Tamandua tetradactyla: one gene and its partner. The protein of the gene in region 2 purifies or fractionates together with the protein of the main gene of each other region. This does not show direct contact. Links are inferred from orthologs where the notes say so. Each region holds a gene or a part of one and is shown on either strand. Other genes may lie near its edges.

Evidence for each region.
Region 1: the proteins of ITGA2 (region 2) and ITGB1 purify together in Homo sapiens (co-immunoprecipitation; 3 studies listed by BioGRID and IntAct, with this or other methods). This does not show direct contact. The link is inferred for Tamandua tetradactyla from reciprocal best matches to the Homo sapiens genes ITGA2 and ITGB1.

The regions. Positions count from the first base shown.
Region 1 is NC_135327.1:218,123,380-218,134,268, reverse strand, and holds the start of ITGB1 (integrin beta-1), read right to left. Parts: upstream 5,191-10,889; 5' UTR 5,166-5,190; intron 1-5,165.
Region 2 is NC_135335.1:99,081,587-99,092,168, reverse strand, and holds the start of ITGA2 (integrin alpha-2), read right to left. Parts: upstream 5,394-10,582; 5' UTR 5,312-5,393; intron 5,172-5,311; exon of another isoform or gene 5,116-5,171; 5' UTR 4,997-5,115; coding exon 4,936-4,996; intron 1-4,935. UniProt on the Homo sapiens protein: Integrin alpha-2/beta-1 is a receptor for laminin, collagen, collagen C-propeptides, fibronectin and E-cadherin. It recognizes the proline-hydroxylated sequence G-F-P-G-E-R in collagen.

The DNA of each region.
Region 1 (10,889 bases), on a different chromosome or scaffold from region 2:
CTGTTTCCAAAATGGTTCCCATAAGCAACACCCCCTGAATGGGTGAAGACATATCTCCATGGAAACCACCTAATCAAAAGGTTTGGGTGTGTTCTAGTTTGCTAGCTGCTGGAATGCAATATACCTGAAACAGAATGGCTTTTAAAAAGGGGAATTTAATAAGTTGCTAGTTTATAGTTTTAAGGCAAGAAAATGTCCCAGTTAAAACAAGTCTATAGAAATGTCCAATCTAAAGCATCCAGGGAAACACACCTTGGTTCAAGAAGGCCAGTGAAGTTCAGGGTTCCTCTCTCAAATTAGAAGGCACATGGTGAACATGGTCAGGGTTTCTCTCTCATCTGGAAAGGCAGATGGTGAACACAGTCAGAGTTCCCCTCTCATCTGGGAGGGCATATGGCGAGCACGGCATCATCTGCTAGCATCTTCTCCCGGCTTCTTGTTTCAGGAAGCTCCCTGGGAGGCATGTTCCTTCTTCATCTCCAAAGGTCGCTGACTGGTGGACTCTGCTTCTCATGGTTATGTCATTCTGCTCTGCTCTCTCTGCATCTTTCATGCTCCAAAATGTTTCCTCTTTTATAGGATTCCAGAAACTTATCAAGACCCACCCAAATGGGTGGAGACATGTCATCACCTAAACCAGTTTAACAACGACTTTTGATTAAATCACATCTCCAGGGAGATGATCTGATTACAGTTTCAAACATACAGTATTGAATAGGGATTATTCTGCCTTTATGAAATGGGGATTTAGATTAAAACATGGCTTTTCTAGGGGACATACATCCTTTCAAACCAGCACAGGGTGGGTCACATCTCCATGGAAACAACTTAATCAAAAGATCCCACCCAGCAATACTGAATCAGAGTTAAAGAGCATGGCTTTTCTGGGCACATGGCAATTTCAAACCAGCACAGAGGGGGAGAAAAATAAAGGTTTCCAAAAGGTTCCAACTGGTGTAGTGAGGTGTGAGCATTGTTCTAGTTTGAACTTTGATTCTCATAGAGAAATACAGTTTCAAATTTCCTTGTTAAAAGGAAATAATTACCACAAGTAGAATTACATAATACAGAACTGTCCAGTGAATAAAGGGAAAAAAATAACACATGAAAACTTAAATAATGAAGAGAAGATGGACAGGAACAACAGTAGGGGAGGGGAAATTTCTGCCACTTATTTCCACCCCCCCCCCCCCTGCCCCGTTGGCCTTTCTTAGCCTCTCCTCCAGGGAGGGAGAATTTGCTTCATATATATTTGTGGGCAGAAACGCTGGGTGGTAAGAGGGATGAGCCCACGATTGGCTCCACCTCGCCCCGCCCACCTTTCCTCTTTGTTGCATCTGACCTGGACCGCTTCCTCTCTGCATGGGGTACCTAGCATGCTCCGCATTGCATCAGGACCAGTTAGAAGGTGTGTGAGAATCGCGAGATTAGCTTTGGGCTTGAGCAGGGTGGGCGGCACCTCCTCTACCTCAAATGCTCGATACCATGCTACCTCCTCTCCATATCCTTGTGTACTTGTGTAGTTAATAAAGTGGGCACTGTTTCTCATTCATTCCTCTGCGGTGGAAAGCCCAAGGGAAGGGGAACTGATTGTTTGGATTAAATGAGTCATTTTTTGCAGGGGATAGGAGGTTGTTTCTGGTCATAATAACATAATGGTTAAAATGTCAAAACCTACTCTAATAACTACATTGGCAAAAACCTTACCACCAACATACATTGGACACTCAGGCTGTTGTGGACCCCTACACTGCTAAGGATTTTTTTTTGGGGGGGGAGGGGGACAATTTGAAAACCTAAACCAATGTTTTAGAAGTGTAAGACTTTGAAAAAAAAAAAAGTAAGATTTTGACTCAGAAAATTCCTCGTATAAGCACTTATTTAATGGGAATCCTTGCTCATGTACGCAAAAATTCACTGCTGTTCACTGCAGGGTTTTCTGTAATAGGAAAACACCATAGAGTTCATCTAGAAGCCATGGGTTAAATAAATTGTTATATTTCAGTCCATGGCTGCAGCTAATAAAAAGAATAAGGTTGATCTATACACATTAATCTGTAAAATTACACAACATTCCTTAAGTGAAGAAAGCACATTGCAGAAGCTGATCTATATTATGATTGCATGTGTGTGTGTATTCTAAGAAAGAGGCCTGGCAGGATATTATATCTGGGAAGTGTGGGTTTTTAGGGTTGTTCGGGCTTTTCTTTCTGCATTCCTGTATTGTTTGAATTTTCCATAAGGATAATGTGAATATCTATTAAAAAGTTAAAGATAGTCTATTTCGTGGAAAAATACTCTTTTTTTGGAGGAAAAATGTATTTCCCCTCTGTTACACAAGGAAAAACTCACTGTGTAATTATTTGGTTTCTTACATCATTTTGCTCAGATAGTTTTAAAGAGCATTGCCAAAGAGGTGCTCCCCTGGTTAATTTGCACAAAATAGTTACTTTTTTTGTTGTTATTTTAAATGAAATTCAAGAGTATGCTTATGGCTCACTTTGGTTGTTTTGTAATGTTTAAATTTTCCATGTTACAGCTTTATAATGTTGATTATCAGATGATAATAGGCTGAGACAGAAAAATTTTTAGAAATGATAATCCATTTCTTCCAAGAGATTCAAAATGCTTTATGGGCATGACGACAGAAAATGTTAATAGAATACCAACACCTAAGTAGCTATAGATATGATTACTATTTTATTAGTGGAAAAATGAGGTAGAAAGAGCTATACTCAAACTGGCAAAATGGAAGGGTCAAAAATAGACGTAAAAGCTCCCAACTCTTTTTCCAAATATTCATCCAAGAGTCTAGGAAACTCTTCTTTTTAAACATGCTTTTCCTCCTCTTAAAATCTGTCTAGTTAAAATTCTTGATTATTCTATTTTTCAGTCTGCCAGTGACTAATATGTCACAAACATCAAAACTATGATCGTACACATACATAATAATTTCGACTTGTCAGCAAGGTCACCTCATGCCTAGAACCCATATTCGCATTTCTTTAACCTACAATGCTTCTGATTCAGAGATTTTGTGCTAGATCCTAAGGTAGTTTGTTTCTATCGGCATATTTTTTTTGTTTTCTTGAAATAAAAAATAAGTAAATATAGAAACAGACAGTAAGTTATTTAAAAAAAAATCCCTCCAGCTTGAGGAATGCCTGTCTTTCATCAGTCTTCCAGAATTTTAATAACTGTTTAACACCTCTTATGCCTTCGGATTTCCGTGAGTGTGCTGGCATTTGCGACACTTCCTTTTTCTGATTTGTCTCTTGATTCATCTGCAGACTCAACCCTGCTAGCAACAAAGTATGTTGAAGGCGCATTTCATCCTCACCCTTGCAAAAATCACTCATCCTTAAGGCAACTGACTCAGGCTGCTCCTCGGGTCCTCTTTTTTTTTTTTTTTTTTTTTTTTTTTATCCCCCCGTCCTGCAGTTTTCTACCTATATATGGTCATGGGGCTCACACAGAAGCCTGGCTTCCCCGGGAACACCGGAAAGTGAAATTTCACTAACAAAAACCTTATACCCCTGGCGGCCGCTATAGTTTCTGTCCTGAAAATGGTGAAAGGCAATGATTAAGGCGGTTGCATCCTCAGGGTGCTTTTACTCAGCCCCTAAGGGAAGACGTGATCTTCACAGAGTGGTCTCCCCTCCCTCCCTCGCCGGACCCCGGGACCCAGAAAGGGGGAAGGGGGGTGGCCGCGGCCTGGGAGACGTGGCAGCTTAGCCCGGGAACGCCGCCTAGCTCCGCCCAGCAGCCCGCCTGGCTCCGCCTCGCAGCCGGCGCGGTCTCCCTCGCTGTAGTCCCGCGGCTGTTCTCCGAAGCCCTGCTTCGCTACCACGTGTGATTGTCCCCAAAACTGCGAGGAGCTGGGCTGCACTTAAACAGAGCAAGCAAGCGAGGCGCCACTGAATGGGGCGGATGGCAGGGGCAGTGGGCGCCCACCACGCTATGCTGCCCCTCGGCGATTCGTTTATTAGGACCCAACGCTGCCTGCTGTTACGCAAAGGAACAGTTCATCCCACTTTAAATATGGAGAGCGCGACGAGGAGAGGAAGTTCCGGGGAGAGAGCAAACCTATACAATGGCCTATCTTGCAGAAACATAACTCTAAATAAATCCATCAGTTTTTTCCTAGCGAAGATGGCCATTCAAAACCTCCAGGTTATTCGGAATGACCAGAGATTTAAGGAAATGTGCAGAAATAAGAAATCTTTGGAATAGGATCTAACTAGCTTTAAATGGATAGCTTTCTTGGTGACATTTCAAACTAGATGTGTAAAAATATCAGAGACTTTATCAGGGGAATTGTTAACGGAATATCACCCAAATTTCATGCTCAAATAAAACTATGATACTTTCGAAATATAACTGGAGAATGAATAGAAGGACATTGACTATTGTTAGAATATTAAAAATATGCAGAAGTCTCACGGGCTTCATAGGTTTTAGACTCCTTTAGGGTGGAGATGATAGTTATTACATTTCTATTACTTCAATATAAGGGAACTCACTGTAGAGCATGGTGCACAAAATAGGCACTCAGTGGATTTGTTATTTAAAACAAATAATAATCCACGATGCAAAGCAATTCAATATTGGAGGCAGGTTTGAAGTGTAATTTGGGCTTTTCCCTACTAATCTGATTTAAGTATGGTCCTATACAGAGGCATAAAGTAGATGTTTAAAGTAACTTTTAGTAGCGTTTCTGAGCCCTGGACTGCCAGGAGATTTCTGGGATCCTGTCAAGGGTTCTTTGGTGATCATGCTGTGTGGCTTTTAGCCATTGCTAGTCATCCTAATCATACCTTACACTTTCTAGTTCCAAGTCCCACTGCCTTTTTCATCCCCAATGTACCTACCCCTACCTTGTAAAAACAAAAAATTAGTGCATTATAGTCAGTATAATCTCACTTCATAATGCCATCATCTCCACTTTCATTATCTGTTCCCTCCACATTTCTGGGTTTCTTTTCTACCTTGGACAAAACACTAAAGAGAAAATCAATTAAACAATAACAACAAAAAATCCCATGAAAACAAGCAAACAAAAAAAGAAAAAAGGAGACTACCGTCTTAATAGTCTGAAAATATGCCCCCCACTTTTTCAGTGCGGTGCAGACAGATGCTGGGCATAAAAATTTGAGTTTTCTTACCTGAGGTCAGGGGACAAAAGACTGTGGGTCGCTGTGCTTAGTTTTCCATATTGAGGCTTTCGTTTTTTTGTTGTTGTTTTAATATAGAATGGAATGAGCAGAATGTAGTTATTGCCTGCCATCTAGTGTATTTAGCTGGAATTTCACCTTGCGGCTAAGAACCGACAGCTAAAGTTCAGAAAACTAATGCATTGATTCAAATAAGGATGGATGAACTCTACAACCACTTCTGCCTTCCCAGCTTCAGAGCTTCACGTGTAAAAAACAATTAAGGGGACCCAATGTCGAACATTTATTGCTAAATGTAGAGCAGAAATGGATGTCCTATCTAAATGAGAAGAATCAAGAAAACTACACTCAAAATACAGGCTTCGTGAGTAACTGCACAGTGTAAAAATATCACAGTAGTTATTAAAAGTCAACTGCATTCAGAATGCTCTTGACGTGACTCCCCAATAGAGAAAAGCAAAAAAAAAAAAATGTATCAGTGTAAAATTCATCTTTCAAACAGAGAAGACGTTCTCGTAGTCACTCTGGTTCAAACACTTTTGACGAATTGGACACAGCGGGTCATCTGAACAGCTTTCATGCTACTGCCAGACTGACCTTCCTTACACACCTTGAAAACCTCCTGGAACCCTGTGGATGAGAAATAAGGAAATAAAGAGAAAATAAAGTTTCTTTTTGTTCCTGGATCACCTCCTCTGTCTGGTCTCATTGTTGCCTCTTTCTGGTTTCATCCGACCTCTACAATCATTTCCCATGGCTCTTCTTTTTTTTTCGTTTGTATTTAACTTTGCACGGCTCTTCTTGAGCTTTCTGCCTACCTCATGAACAAGCCCTGCTCATTGCTGTCTTCAGGTTTCCATCAACCTACCTGCTCTCGCGAGGAATATCTGTCCTTCTTCCCTCCTTTGCCAAACCAAACCCTCCTCCCCCTTCAGGATCCCTGGCACCCTCCCTTGCTGTCAAGTCCTGGAGGAATTGTAGGTTATAGTTCATAGCTGAGTGCTTGCCCAGATACTGTCACATGGTTTGCCATTATTTCACATGCCCTCTCTCCTCCCAAATAGATTGTGAAATGGTCCAGGCCAGACCCTACTTCTTACCCACTTCCGTCTCGCCCCCCACCCCCACCTACTCACCTATGCTTCTGGGGACACTGTGAGCCCAGTGCATACTTTTGGATTGGATTTCTTCATCCTCTCCTCCATTCTGCAAGGCAGATGGGCTCCTATTGTTCTTGCTGTTAGGAATGAGGACCCAGAGACCCAGAGCATTTGCCGGACGTGCCCTTGTCTCCCAGAAAGTGAGCCAGTGGCAGAGCTGGGCTGGGGCCTCCCATCCTTGACGGGTGGTCCTCCTGGCACACTGCCGCAGCCGTCCCGTGCGGAGGGAACTCTCAAGCCGTACACTAAATGCTGCTTTATTTTCAGATATTCTCTTAGAGGACAGACACTGGCTCATATTGTAGGGAGTGGCCAGGCAACTGATAATCATCAGGACTTGTGGTTGTGCCGCCTGCCTGGCCATGTCAGTTCTTTCTGAGAGGCTATGCCATGTTTTCAGCCCGCACCCATCTGTCCTTTTTGAAAACCACAAACTGGTGTTCTGACAGATATTATGACATTCTTTAGCACAGCTCTCTGTTTAAATGACTAAACCGGCTCATTTATAGTTATTTAAACAACTGTGGGTCTGACTGCTGCCTGTCCTTTCTCGCCTGCAGAAAGGTATTGGGGATTCTGAGGCACACTGTGTAATGTGCAATGAAAAACACCACGACAGAATCCTTAGGAAATTACAGGGAGTAGGGCAGGCTTTCCAGGTAGTTTTCTCCCCAGGCCACTTGATGGATTTATTTTCCACTGGGTGTCTTTGGTGACTCCCCAGCTAAGGAGCAGGGTACCTTTTGCCCTCATTCAGTTGCACACTTATAAAGACCAGTCCTTCATTGGTATATTTGTTCTCCCATCCATGCCTGGTGTTGGCCCCATGGCTTTGTGTTGCCAGCGGGACAACTTGGTAGCAAAATTACTGAAATTAATCCTATTGAATAGCAAGAAACTAGATGTTTACAAGGTTCTTGTTTTTTTTTTTTTTTGGTTTCCAAATGGCTATTTTATCAGATGGTTTGAACATTAAATTTATCTTTGTTTGCAATCCAAAATACTTACCTGAAACTTGCTGTTTTGCTTATGCATATGCACATTTTCTTTTATTTTATATTTGTTTCCTAAACTCTTTGGCACCATTTTCTGTGAGCATTCAGACTGCCATGCATCATACAAAGTCAGGAGAGAGATCTCCTTTTGTGCTGCCAATTCTAAGCATTAAACTTTTGTTTTGTTTGGGTTGCGGCTTTTGTTTTTGAAGTCGGCAGTCTTTATTTGTAACAATTGTGTTCTAATTTTTTCTATATCCTTGAACTCCAGAGTTTTCTTTTTCTCTCCCCCCACCCACATTCTACATTCATAGTTGAACCATATTTAGGAAAGATGCCTCGATGAAAATATCAGGATGGGAGCTCTGACCATTTGTCAATGTTATCCCTAAAAGATAATAATTTAGAAACTAAACGAAATGAAATCCAAAAAACTTCAAGAGCATCTTCCCCCCCCTTTTTTTTTTAACATCTCTTGTACTGCATCAGTAGACAGAATTTCAGTCAGTTTTATGAAATGCAACGTCTTACCCCCACACACCCCATTTTTTTGTTTCTAGGAAAAAAAAAAGAAACTGCAATGACTTGAAGTCGAGGATGTGGATGCCACCTCACTCTCACACACTCATTCTCAGACTGAAGAGAATCCCTCCCCCTCCTTCTAGCCTGCACGTGGACTGTACTGTGTGGCAAAGGTTCACCGAAAGTGAGCCTGAAATCCAGGCTCCATCTTTCTTCAGACTAGCAAAGGCCAAGCTGCCTTTTACAACAAAGCACCACAGCTGAACCCGGTCCCTCCTCCTCTCCCAAACCCATCATTCCACTCAGCACCAGCCAAAAGTCAGAAAATCTACTGCTAGCCTCTTCTGGGAAGAGTTGGCTTTCTTTTTCTTTTTAAAGCAGGTAAACCCATCGTTTTTCTCTTTCCCAAGATGGCCGATGGTATGGTTTCTATGAAGGCAGTGCTTACTTAGCTCACCAACAGCACTGCTGTTTTGTTGGTGGCTGCCGCTGCTGCTGCTGCAGCTGGATTTTCAATGTGGGCTCTTTCCAAGCCTCACTCACTCATCCTCTCTTTCCCAAACACTCAGCATCCCTGCACACTCCTCATTTCTGGTTTTTTCAAAAGATTGGAGATTACCAGTAGAGGTTTCAGGTTATCCCAGTGGTAACATCGCAGGCTTGGTTCTCCAGTTTCCTCCATTTTTTTGTTGTCCAAGTGATGCTGACAAGATTCTTATGCAATGCTACTAATTTAGAACAATTGTGAGGGCTAATTGAACAAAAAGCAGTAGAGAAAGGCTTCCAGCTTGATTGTTTAAAGACAATCTAAATGCAAGTTGTAACAAGTGGCTTTTTATAATTGCATGTCTACTGAAATGATCGGAACTCAGCTCAAAGCATCACAGGATGTAGTGATATTAGTTTTAAGATAGTACTATTAAAAATATAAAGAAGATTGGTTTTCAACCAAGCTTTCAAAAAATTTCATGATAGTAGTGGCAGGAAATTTTAAGATAAGATTTAGAACTGCCTGAGGAACTTGTCAGATAATGAATCAGCTGCAGAATACTCAAAAGGAGCCCGCAGTTATTACTGCTGACGTCTGCCCGAGTGTTAATGACATCACCTCTGCAGCTTCCAAAAGCAAGAACCCAAACCTCATTCCATTCTGTCCTCCCAGCAGGCCGTGGGAAGGCAGATCAGCCCTCCGACCCTTGCTGAATGCTTAGAGAGTCAAGTGGTTTTCCTCCTTTCCATGTCCCATAGCTGGAGTGGGCGGGGGGTGGGTGGGGAGCTGGGGGACAGTGACCTGAAGCCAACTGTCCATATGCCAGCATGTTAAGATACAGGGCCCATAAAATTCCTCTTATGGAAATCTGAATGTTTTCAGGACAAGTTTCTAATGTAGCACCTTGGGAAAGAATCCGTTAAAATGTCTTGTGCTGTCAGTTTCATTGTGTGTGAATTAGTTCGGTTATAATGAATCTTCCTTCTCACCCGTTTCACACATGGTTTAGCAAATGAAGAAGACAAAGGGTCAAAATCACGTCTGTGACTTCTGACCTTTTTTATTGTCTGGCAGCATCTGCAGAGCAACCCCTAATTGTAGCACCTCAGAACCACAGGGACTCTGAGCGAGAAGGTCTATTTAGTAAAGCTTGGACACGATGTCACAAAACAATATACTCAAGACAAGAGGGTGAAAAGCACATCAGAGGTTATTGCTTTTCTTTGATTCTTCTCAAATTTATCAGAAATCATTTTCCTTAAGTCCCAAATGTAAAACATGTTTTTTTTTTTCCATTGAAAGTGTCAGACTTGGGCTGCTGGATGGTATTCCCCAACTGTTGTAGTTTGCTAGCTGCCAGAATGCGACGTACCAGAAATGGAGTGACTTTTAAAAAGGGGAATTTATTAAGTTGCTAAGTTACAGTTCTAAGGCCATGAAAATGTCCCAATTAAAGTATATCTATAAAAATGTCCAAATTAAGGCACCAAGGTTCACTTCACTCAAGAAAGGCCGATGAAGTTCAGGGTTTTTCTGTCAACTGGAAGTGCACATGTGAACATGGCAGCATCTGCAGGCTTTCTCTTCAGGCTTCTTGTTTCATGAAACTCCCCACCTCCCTCCCTGGGGCATTTTCCTTCTTCATCTCCAAAGGTCTCTGGCTGCATGAGGCTCTCACCTCATGGCTTTACTCTCTTGGAATCTCAAGACTTTCCCAAAATGCTTCTTTTTGGTGGGGAGGCGGGGCGTCCATGGTCCGGGAATTGAACCCAGGTCTCCTGCATGAAAGGTGGGCATTCTAACCACTGAACTACCCATGCACCCTCCAAAATGCTTCCTCTTTTAAAGGATTCCATTAAACTAATCAAGAGCCTACCTGGAATGGGTGGGGTCACATCTCCCTCTAATCCAAGGTTAATACCCACAATTGGACAAGTCACATCCTTATGGAGATAACCTAATCAAGTTTTCAGCCTACAGCATTGAATAGGGATGAAAAGAACCTGCCACCACAAGATGGATCAGGATTAAAGCATGGCTCTTCTAGGGTGCATAATCCTTTCAAACCAGCATACCAACCTATGAAACATTGGAACATTAGATTTCTTGCTGATAAAAATACTGGGTAGGGTCCAAGTTTGCATCAAGCACCATCTTACACCTCTACTTGCCTCGCGGTCTGCTGAGATAACTTATCATCCTTCAGCTCTGTCTCATGTTTCTAGAGGACAGCATGGAAGGGGTCAGCTATGTCTTTATCCTGCCATTTAAACACTGGATGCCAACTGGTAGGTTCTATTAAGGTTTGACTATATGCCAAAAGGAGCAATAGTCTTGAGGCAGAATGAGCTGTTTTTGCCACTTACTAGCCATGGAAGTTGCTTATATTCTCTGTTAAATAGAGATAACAATATAGTCTGTGTAATGGACTCATGAGGTTGTTGGAGGGAATGACAGAAAAATGGATTTGAATGTCCTTTCAATTAGATTCACTATATAAATGTTCTGTGGTATTATTATGGGTTTAACTGTGACCCCCAAACAATAT
Region 2 (10,582 bases):
TGGCTCTCATGATAGCATTTAAGTGATGCTAAATGCCTAATGATTCTTTTGACCCCCAACATTTTCCAATTCTTTCCGAAATTTTTTATTTTTGATACACTGATTGAATGGCATGCCATTATCTTGCTGAATAGCTAAAATGCCATCATTGGAAGTTCATCTTTACATTAACAGAATTTTCCCTTTTTACATGCCTAGGGCTGTTAGCACATAGTGCAGGGGCCGGTCATTACCCATTGTGTGTCCATTCATTTAAACTGATGCATTCATTGACTCTTGGAGTTGAAATATACCTGTCTAGCAATCCCTTCCAAACCAATATTCCAATATCCTAGCAATCCCTTCCAAACCTGGCTATGCATCAGAAATACCAGAGTAACTGATCTGGTTTTCCTTTTTAAAATTTGTTATGGGTATATATATATATATATAATTAGCATATATATATATATTACCATATACATATATTAGCAATTTTGAACTATTGTTTTCAAATGTCGAATTTAAATCAAACAGTGGCATGTGAACCGTTATTTAAGAGGAGCAAAGCTTAGCTAAGGCTCTTTAGGTGTAGCTGGCGAGCCACCGTGGGCAGGGGGAGGCAGTTTACCTTGGAGCTGGGGAGAAGAGGAGAGAGGTGGTTTAGGGAGGGTTTCAGAATTGAGTCATTATCACAAACTCCTCATTCTGAAATGAAAGAAAAACCTCCTTACTTTGTAATTTGCTTGGGGTTGGCTCTCCTGACATTGGACAGTGGTCAGTTGCAAAGGGATAGATTATTCTTCCTGAATGTGCAGGCTGCATTCAGATGAAAACCTGAGAATTCACGTTTTGTGTGAGGCATAAAAAACACAAGAACTGACTTCACTCTTCTTATTGCCTTCTGTCTCCGGCTCCTTCTCATTCCCCATTCCCATCCCAAACAATATGGGCCCATTCCCTGACCAAATTGCCACCTTTGAATACAGGACTGGGCTGCTCAGTGAAACCTAAAGAATCTTTTGGCCATACCTTCAAAGGTATCTCACAGAAAATGCAGAAAAAGGAAAAGCATCAACGCAGTGAAGGTTAATGGAATAGCCTGGAAAATCTTTGAACATAAATATGGGATGATTAGGTGAAGTCAAAACATAGAATGACATTTATATATAATTTGGGGGCTATGTGTATGTGTGTGCAACTGTATTTATGACGTGTATGTGTGTGCTGGAATGGATGTGTTGGAGAAAGGACTGAATAGACAGGCTGTGGCCAGATGAAGGACTTTTTATGACATGCCGAGAAATTATGACTTCACCCTACATGGGATGGGAGCCATGTAGGATAAAACAAGAGAGTGATGCGTGAAGCAAGACATTGACTGGCTACAAATAAGTTCTTTAGAAAGAGAACATTGGTGACAATGAGGAAAAGGGTCTGGAGGGATAAGAGACTAAAAATAGGAAAACCAATTTAAAAACCGTAATAGCCTGGATATACACAAAGTGAGTGTGGTAAAATGAGGTTGAAAGCAAGAGAAAAGGTTGCTGGCTTTAGTGTTTACATAATAACACTGCTGTTAAACATTAGTAGATGGTATAGGAGAAAATTCCAGAGGGCTAGTGTGAAATCAGTTTAGGAAATGTTGAGATGGAAGTGCTTACAAGACATCTAGGTAGAGATATTTAGTAACAGATGGAAATACAGATCTGAAGCTCAGGAGAGGACTCTGACCGGATATATACACTTGAGAGGGGTACTTGCTCAGAGAAAATTGTTCGTAGCTCTGCATACACTAAAAAGGAATAGACCAAACAATTGAGTCGCTGATGGAGACTAAGAAAGAACTTCCAGGACAGCAGGAGAAAATCTGAGAGCTAACAGAAGCTGGAAGTGGAGTTTGCTTCAGAAGAAAAGAGTCGCCAAACAATTAAATATAAAACAAAGACTTTTTTTCTCACTATGAGATTAGAGTATTTACACAGCAAGGAGAAATTACATTAGAGAGAATATGAAGATACTACTTTTAAAAAGGGATGACTAGAGCAGACAGCAGTGGCTCAGTGGCAGAATTCTCATCTGCTGTGCTGGAGTCCCGGGTTTGATTCCCGGAATCTGCCCAGGCAAAAAGAAAAGAAAAAAAAAAGGGATGACTGATTAGGTAGGGTAGATTCAGAATCCAGGTAGGATTATCCTTAGCCAAGCAAAACACTAGAGAATGTAAGTGATGCCATGTATTTTAAAAGCACATTTACCTTTGTTCTGTGGGTCTATAATTTAGTTTACAGAATATCTAGACATCTTATGGTGTCTTCCATCCTTAACTTGCCAGTGATTATGAGCACTTAAAGAACAACCAATCAAAGGTGATACAACTAAATTGTGAGTACTGCTTTTTCTTAAACACCTGTGAGAAGATTTATGGAAAGCGAGTTTGAATCTAAGATTTAAAATGTGATTTGAGGGTCATGTGTTTCTAAAGTAGTTTGCACGTATGACGGAGAAGATGCTAGATGTAAAAACACAGACGTATGCTTTTAAATTTTGGTATCTGTTTATAACACTGTTGTACATGTACAATATGTAGAAATACAAACAATTACACGTGTGTATAGTAATGATAAATGCTAAAATATTTATACAAATAGGTTTAACCATGAAAAAATGCAGATACCACTGATTGAGCTATTTCATTTATTCTCAGATAATTATGGCATTCAAAAAATGCTGCTGCTGTTCTAGGCACCTCAATTAATAACACAAATGACAAGTTTTATAATAATCCTTTTGAAGTAAGAAAAACCTGTTCCTCAAGTATGTCAATATATGGAGTGGAATGAGGGAAAAAATACATGAATTACTTTTTCAGATGTCATTTTAAATCACCTCTGTTTGCGATGAGTTGTTCTTATTAACTAACTCCAGGCTAAAATCTCTGAACCTGACTACCTGCCTGGCAGCAACACATTCCACTCACTGCTCTTTAAAGAACAAGCCTCAACACTTCAACGATAAGAAAATGATGTTATATTTCCATAGTTTCTTTTAATACTGGGTAATTAAAAGAAATGAAAAGCTTAGATTTATTTTTCTACTGGCTCTTGAGACAGTGATGATATAAGAAGAAAGTGATCTTATAGTGATGATTTTCAATATAAAATTCTACTTTATCTGAAATCCCTAGGTTAGAGTTGATGCCCCCCCCCCCCCAAAAAGCTCTTTTGTATGTATTTCCAGTGTTTAGGATAAGACTGACATGAATTCCATCAAAGACATTCCCTCCAATCTCTCCCAGAGCCCTACAAACTAACCTTTCAATGTAAGTGAATACTATAAATATTAACATGTGGAAATGTATAATGTTAATCTGAGTGTGACTGTCTTCAAATCATAACCTGGGGGACATGATAACCTGTTGCCTTTTTATTCTCTGGTCCATATCCCTTCCCATCTTTCCTTTGACATAGGGCTTCCATCCTTTCTCATCTCCACACTACTCATGAAAGAAGTCTGGCCAAATAACCAAATAATAATGCATGAGCTGAAAGAAAGAAAGAGGGAAGAGAAAAGAGAGAAAACATAATGAAAATGCCAAATTCAATAGTAACAAAATCAAAATATTAATACAAGAATTGCCCGACAATCACAAACCCGAAATAATAATACTAGAATTGCTCAAGAAATTCCCAAGGATTTATGCAGGTGTATTTGCACTGAAATTCCAAGCACACACATTTGGAAATAATGATCCCAGGAGAGAATATCTATGAAGCACCAGTCACAGGGTCAGACAGAAAACCTAATTGTCCCCATTCAGTTTGGAAAGGAAGGGAGTGGGTGTGTGTTGTGTGCGTTATTTCTCTCTTATCTCTGACCTAGAAAAATAGCCGCAGGATTGGAACCAAGTTTCTTCCACAATGAGAAATATGGACTGGCTGAAAGTAAGCCCCAAAAGGCCATCTTTGAAAAAACACTTCAAAATCAGAGGTGTGTGTGTATGTGCGTGCGTGTGTGTATGCATGTTAGCTGTTCAAACTACAAGATACAAATGTGAGCAGTGTCCTTCCAAGTAAACCAAAGTTCTTAAACATAAGCACACGCTGGGCTCCGATCAACGCAGGAGAAGGTCCTGCAGACAATCGCACAGCAGCCGCGCACGCAGCGAAAGAAGCGAGACGGTGCGGGAGCCCCACTCCCACCACTGCGGTTGGAGCTCGGGTTGATCCCTTCCCCCTCTCCCTGCGGCCTCAGAGATCGACAAAGTCAAAAGAACTTTTCCTGGCCTAAGTTTACATTCGTGAACAGAAGACACTGCAACAATTAGAGGAAGGCAGAAGGGCTGGAGGAGCTACCCTCAGCCAAGTATTTAAAAAGGCACTTGGTTTATCTAGGCTCCCTATGGAAGGAAATGCCAGCGTTGCTTCCTCAAATGAGAAATGGAGGCATTATTCATTCCCTTGGGAGAGCACTTGAAAAATCAGCGTGCTGGACTCCAAGTCTCTCTGGAAAGCCACCAGGAATTGCGCTGAGGTGCTGCAGGGTGAAGGGGACATCGGGGACGGGATTCCGGGGAGCCACAGGAACCCGGGCGGGCTACTGGGCCGGAGAGACACCTGTCTGAGCAGGGGTGGGGACAGGCTGCAGGACTCGCGGTCTCCAAGACACCCCCATCATCCCCACACCCTCCATGTATATGTGCTCACGCGAGTTCCTAAAACCACAGTGTTCACTGAAATGCCTTAGGGTGAGATACGTCTTATGGGGACGCGAGATCCCTGGCTAGTGGGAACGGGGGATCTCTTTTCCAACCCGCTCTGGATGGCTGGGAGCCTGGGCCACGAGAAATCAGAGCCGGGTCTCACCCGCTTGCTGCCTCGTCCCCAATAATCTCTCCCTCACACTCCCCACCCCCGGAACCCACACCTCACTCTTGCAGCGGATGCTGATCACGCTTACCTTGACTGAGCACCAATAGCCGCAGCGGCAGGGGCGCGCCCGCAGTCCGTCCCGGCCGCATCCTGAGTTTACCCGGGCGGGGCGGGGGGGGAGTAGCTGCTCTGGGTTTGCAAGGGTGGCTTTGGCTGAGGGCTGCAAGAATCCGGAGACTCCCCAGGAACCGTTCGAGGGTGTCTCTTCCTTGCCCGGGTGAAAGCAGGGAAAAGTTGCCGGGCAGCTCCAGGGGCGCCAAGGGCCCGCCCCGGCCCGCCCCTCCCGTCCGGGCAAACACTGGATCTGCCCGGGCCCCGCCCCGCCGAGGCCCCCCTCCCCCTGCCGCCTCCCGCCCCGCGGGCTGCACCTCGGCTTCTCCAGATCCCGGGGAGCCACACCTTACCTCCCTTACTGGGTTCCACCCCGGGAGCCCGGAAGCGGGTGGAGATGAGGACGACACGCCTGTCAACCTTTTTCGCACTGGACCGGACTTGGCCCCCGCACTTCCGACGGGGAAATCCAGCCCTGTCACTCCCCCGCCCCCTGACGGCCCGAGCTCTGCCCCCGGGTGCCCAGCGGAGCTGGCAGCAATTGGGAGGGGCTTGGGACCCACGAACACCCTAGCGAGTTCTGAGAGGCTTCACTGCTTTTTCCAGCCGGACAAAAATTAATGCAGAATGACCAGGTTAGAAACTAACTCCCCAGGGTAAAGCTTTGCACACGAGTTAGGATTACCCGACGTGATATTTAAGTAAGAGCAACGTGTGTGTGTGTGTGTGTGTGTGTGTGTGTGTGTGTGTGTGTGAGAGAGAGAGAGAGAGAGAGAGAGAGAGAGAGAGAGAGAGAGAGAGAGAGAGAGAGAGAGAGAGAGAGAGAATCATCGTTCTACTCCTTCGAGATAAAGGAGGAGCTGATTTGATTGTTGAGTTTAAGCGATTTGCTTCAAGACAGAGAGGGACGAGAATCTGCACATGAACTCATGACCCTTCTTTGTCGGAATTACATGTGACCATTTTCTTCCATTGTTTCAGTCTTAGATGTGGAAAAAGAACGTTCTAGAATCATACCTGAGATTATTACTTATAAACTTAAGAAAATGGAATATTTGCGTTTCTTCTCAAAATCTGGTTTTCCTCTAAAGTTTCAGCCACAAATTCCCAGCACGTTGCTGAAACCAGAATTCTCTCAGTTACTTTGATGAAGCAATGGGATGTTTTAATAATTAAACTAGGGAGTTGTTAGTCTATTCATTACTGTTTCCACCGCTGCAAATCTTTATGGAGCATCTGCTATGAAAAGGATGGAATGCCTGAGATCCTGCTACACTGAAGTGAAGGGGTTCATGATGGGAAGCACATAAAAATGAGTTAATCAGTAAAAATAAAATTTGCCCTTTTGTCGTAGCAACAGCTGGAGTCTGGTATTTTAAAGTATTAAAGCAGTACTTATCAGGGGCCACTGCTTGTGAATAAAACCTAAACCTGGATGCCTTTCAACCACAAAGTTTATAGCCCCAGGTTCTTTCCTGTTTCTTACTAATGCTACTTACTAATCCTGACACACTTAAAGCTATTTTATTTTCCTGACCTGTCTGTGGACACACCTGCTTACGAAGATTCCAGCTATCACCTGAGAGCTCCTAGCTGGCTGCTCACTAACCTTGACACACACACAACCTTGATCTATTCACGGACTTCTTGAGGGAAGTCAGCCAGGTTTAAGGGAGATGAATATCTGTCTGTTTCCTTCTGACTCACTGAAATGTGAGCATGTGTTAGGAACAGACCCTGGTTTGAGAGGCAGGATAGGTTCCCTTAATGGGGGAGGGGACGGGCTGGAACTTATGCTTTGTCTCTGGGTGCTGGAGAGGAAAAGGCACCGTTCTTTACTTTTATGACCAGAACTGGGCAAATTAATATTACTCTAGCATGAGGTGCAGAATAAATTAAGAGCAACATTTTCCAGTGCAGGCAAAAGTTCTAAAAAACAAAGCACAAATTCTTATCTTACTTTGAGTGTAAAGCATTCCTTAGACCAAAGAGTTTAAGAACTCCATGGCCTTACTCTTCCTGGGATTTCTCCTTTCTAGGTGTGTTTATGCTGAATACCACATTCTGAGTAGGGAATAAAAAAAATAGTGTTAGTTTCTAAAAACTAGTTAAATGTGGATCTGAAATAATGTCAATTATTTGATTGTACTCTGTTGCATTAAAATTCATTGGCATATTGAGCATCTTAAATTGATCTTTTGTCTGTACAAAATTTTGTGACATCATTCATTGGTCATTTGGAAAATATTGATTCACGAGTTATGCAGATCTTCCAATTGTTGGCACATTTATTACACAATATCAAAATATCATTTTTTTTATCATCATCAATCTAGTCTGAAAAGTCTTTAAGTATAAGGAAGCTCTCAATCTACTCATGCTGGTGGATATGTATTTTCCAAAATTTGAATTTTCACCTGAAAGCTTGAATTTTATTATTGGCAACAAATCCTGTCAGTTGTGTTGCTTGAAATGACAAGCCCACTTTGCTCATTTTCAGGAAATGCCCATCAAATACGCAAGTCTAAATAACCATACTTTGCCTCTCAGTCATTCTTTTAAGTAAAAATGGTGTTCCATGGAAAAAGTGGCCAGTTCAGCTTACACATCCTCGGACAACCATCCTGCTTCAGTGTACAGCAGAAGTGCATTTTATGTACTCTTCTCAGATTCAAGGATTAAGAATGTTAAAAAGACATATTTTCAAAGGTCAAAATTTAATAAAAGTAATTTTTAATTGTTTCATCAAAGACATTCTTGACTGAAAGGAAACTTCTTTCCTTCCTTTCTTCCTTCCTTCCATCTTTCCTACCTTCTTCCTGTCTTCCTACCACCCTTATTCCTTCTTTTCTTTCGTCCTCTCTTCCTTTCATCCTCTCTTTCTCTCATACTCTAAGTGTCCAAGGGTAGAGACAACAATGATTACTAGTACCCATGACTATTCTCGCACCATTAGGACAAATATCTACCCAGTGAGAAAAGCAAATAACATCTCAGTATTCTTATGAAAATATTTTTAGACCTCATTGCCCACCTGATAGGTGTTACAGTCATCCAAGGACCAAACTCTGAGATCCACCAGGGGATGGAGTGAGACCTTCGTCTTTCCACTCCTTTCTTTCTCTAAGCTCTAAGCAGGTGTTTTGTTGGGGCAGGGGGCTCAATATTTTCAGGGTATAGAAATTCCAGAGTCTTCATTGGGCACATGGACTGGGAATTCATGTTGATCTGCAGCAACTATTTTTTTCCAAGAGCATAGAGAAAGTCTATATGCAGCTATTCACAGAAAGATGAGATGAGGGAACACGGAGCTGTGGAGAGACAGCCAGCCCCCCCCACACACACACACTGATACACACACACAGAAGAGAGGGATTGGGGAATTAATTATGTTTCCAGTCACACGTGAGACCAGGCTTAACTCCCTACCTTTAGCTTCATGAAATGCCCGTTTCCTCTGGATAATTTTTATTTCTCTCTTCTGCTACTTTAAGCTGGTTTCTATCACTTGTAGCAGGCTCTCTTTAAGACATGTCTTTCTCCTATGGGAAATCCTTAAGTATAGTGAATAGATCTCATTGACTTCTTTTACTTATAGTCTTCTCACAAGGCCTGATACAGATTACATTCGCTATAAATGTTTGTTCAACTGGTGAATAAATGCATTTGTTCAACTCATAAATAATGTCTTAACTTATTGAGATGAACCAGAAAAAAAGAAGTTGTATTATTCAGGGTTCTGCAGTGAAACAGAACTGACATATATACACATACTTACATTTTATATATATATATATATATATATATATATATATATACACACACACATATATATATACATACATTTATTATAGGAATTGGCTCATATGACTATGGAGATTGGCTAGTCCAGGCCACAGTTGGGAACTCTGATGAGCTGGATGAAGTTGAGATAGAAATTCATCTTTCTGACTGCTAAAACCAGCAGTTCTCCCTTTAGGGACTTCAAATAATCTGATGAAACTTCTCTTGTGGCTAAAGGCAATCTCCTTTGTTGATTGTAGATGCAATCAGCTATAGATGGACTCAACTGACTGATTATTTAAATCCTCCAAATACTCTCACTGTACCAATCAGGCCAGGGTTTGCTTGGCCAAACAACTGGACACCATAATCTTGCCAAATTGACACATAAACTTAACCATGGCAGAAGTCAAGTCATTTATTTCTTAGAACATGAAGAGCTCAACTAAAGGGGAAACTTTATTCATAAGAACGTCAGATTTTTTTAAAGAAATGTATCATATAATGTATCAAACCAGTTGCGTGGCTATCTGCTTTCTGTTCTCTCTGGAAAAAGATGCTCCTCTTAGAGACCTGGTGTTTGTAAGAAGGAAAACAGACAAAGCACCTCACTTAAACTAGCCTAAGTCAGAGTTGAGTTAAAGGAAAGGATTTGAGGAAATTTCAAAGAAAACAGAAACATGGATTACAATCTGGTCTCAGGGTCTTGGAAGTCGAGACTAGAAAGAGAAGAACACAGTTCACTGTGTACCACTTTTAGTGATTGCCTGATTTCCTGGCTCTGCCTCCTTGCGTGTGCCTGCTGCATTCTCCTCACTGTAGACTGACTTCTTCCGTGTTAATTACTCATCATTTCCACTGCCCTGTAACTTCAACTTGCAAGTGCCTTTAGCTTTGCATGGCCTGACTCCAGTTCAGAGTCTATGAGACCTAATTTTAACTCAATAAAAGGGTCTTCTTCAGTTTGATGGACTCACAATTTCTCTCCAGATGATATTTTCTTCTCAAAGTCCTCTGTCAAGGTTACACACTTTATGATTCTTTTGGTTGCTTTTATTCTTACCTTAAGCCAATCGTTCTACAGTTTAAATTTTAGTGCTTCTCATGGATGGCACTTCATTTTATTTGGAATAATTTTCATTGTGCCATTTAGATTGGAATCTGTCCTTTTAGGTGGAAACACATATCAAATGTTTAACATCAAAATGTCAAGCAAAGCCAATTTTGCCATTAGCATTTTCTTGACTGACAGACCCCAGTATGCTTTATTTATACATCAAAAAAATGAAATCAGCGATTTAAAAAATTATGAACTTCAGTTTTACCAGGATCTCTGTCTTAATTACGTCTAAATCTTCCCAGTTTCTAAATCCCCATTATGCTATATGATAAAACAACAGCTACTATTCGTGGCTCAAAATCTTTGGCCCATTTCATGGTCTTCTAATATTAATCTCTAAGTGTCCAGCATAATTATTTTCTGAACTTTTTACCTCTCTTTACTATAAATTCTAACAAGTTTCTTCACTTGGATTAAGTTGAGAACTTTCTAATAACTTCACTTTCTTTCTCTATTCATTACTTAATCCATATTTTTTTAGCAGCTACCAGGTACAAAATAATGGGTCAAGTACTGTGATGAGACCAATATATATATGTAGCATTAATTGTAGTGAGCTTCAAATCTCATTATCAAACATTGTCCTCAGAGTCTTGCTTTAGCTGAAATCAATGTAGCATATAAGCAGAGAATATCAAAGTTCACTCTGGCTTATGCCCGTCAGTGGAGTGTAAGAACATTTAGCAATGTTTCCTGTAGAATCAGTATGACTCTTTATAAA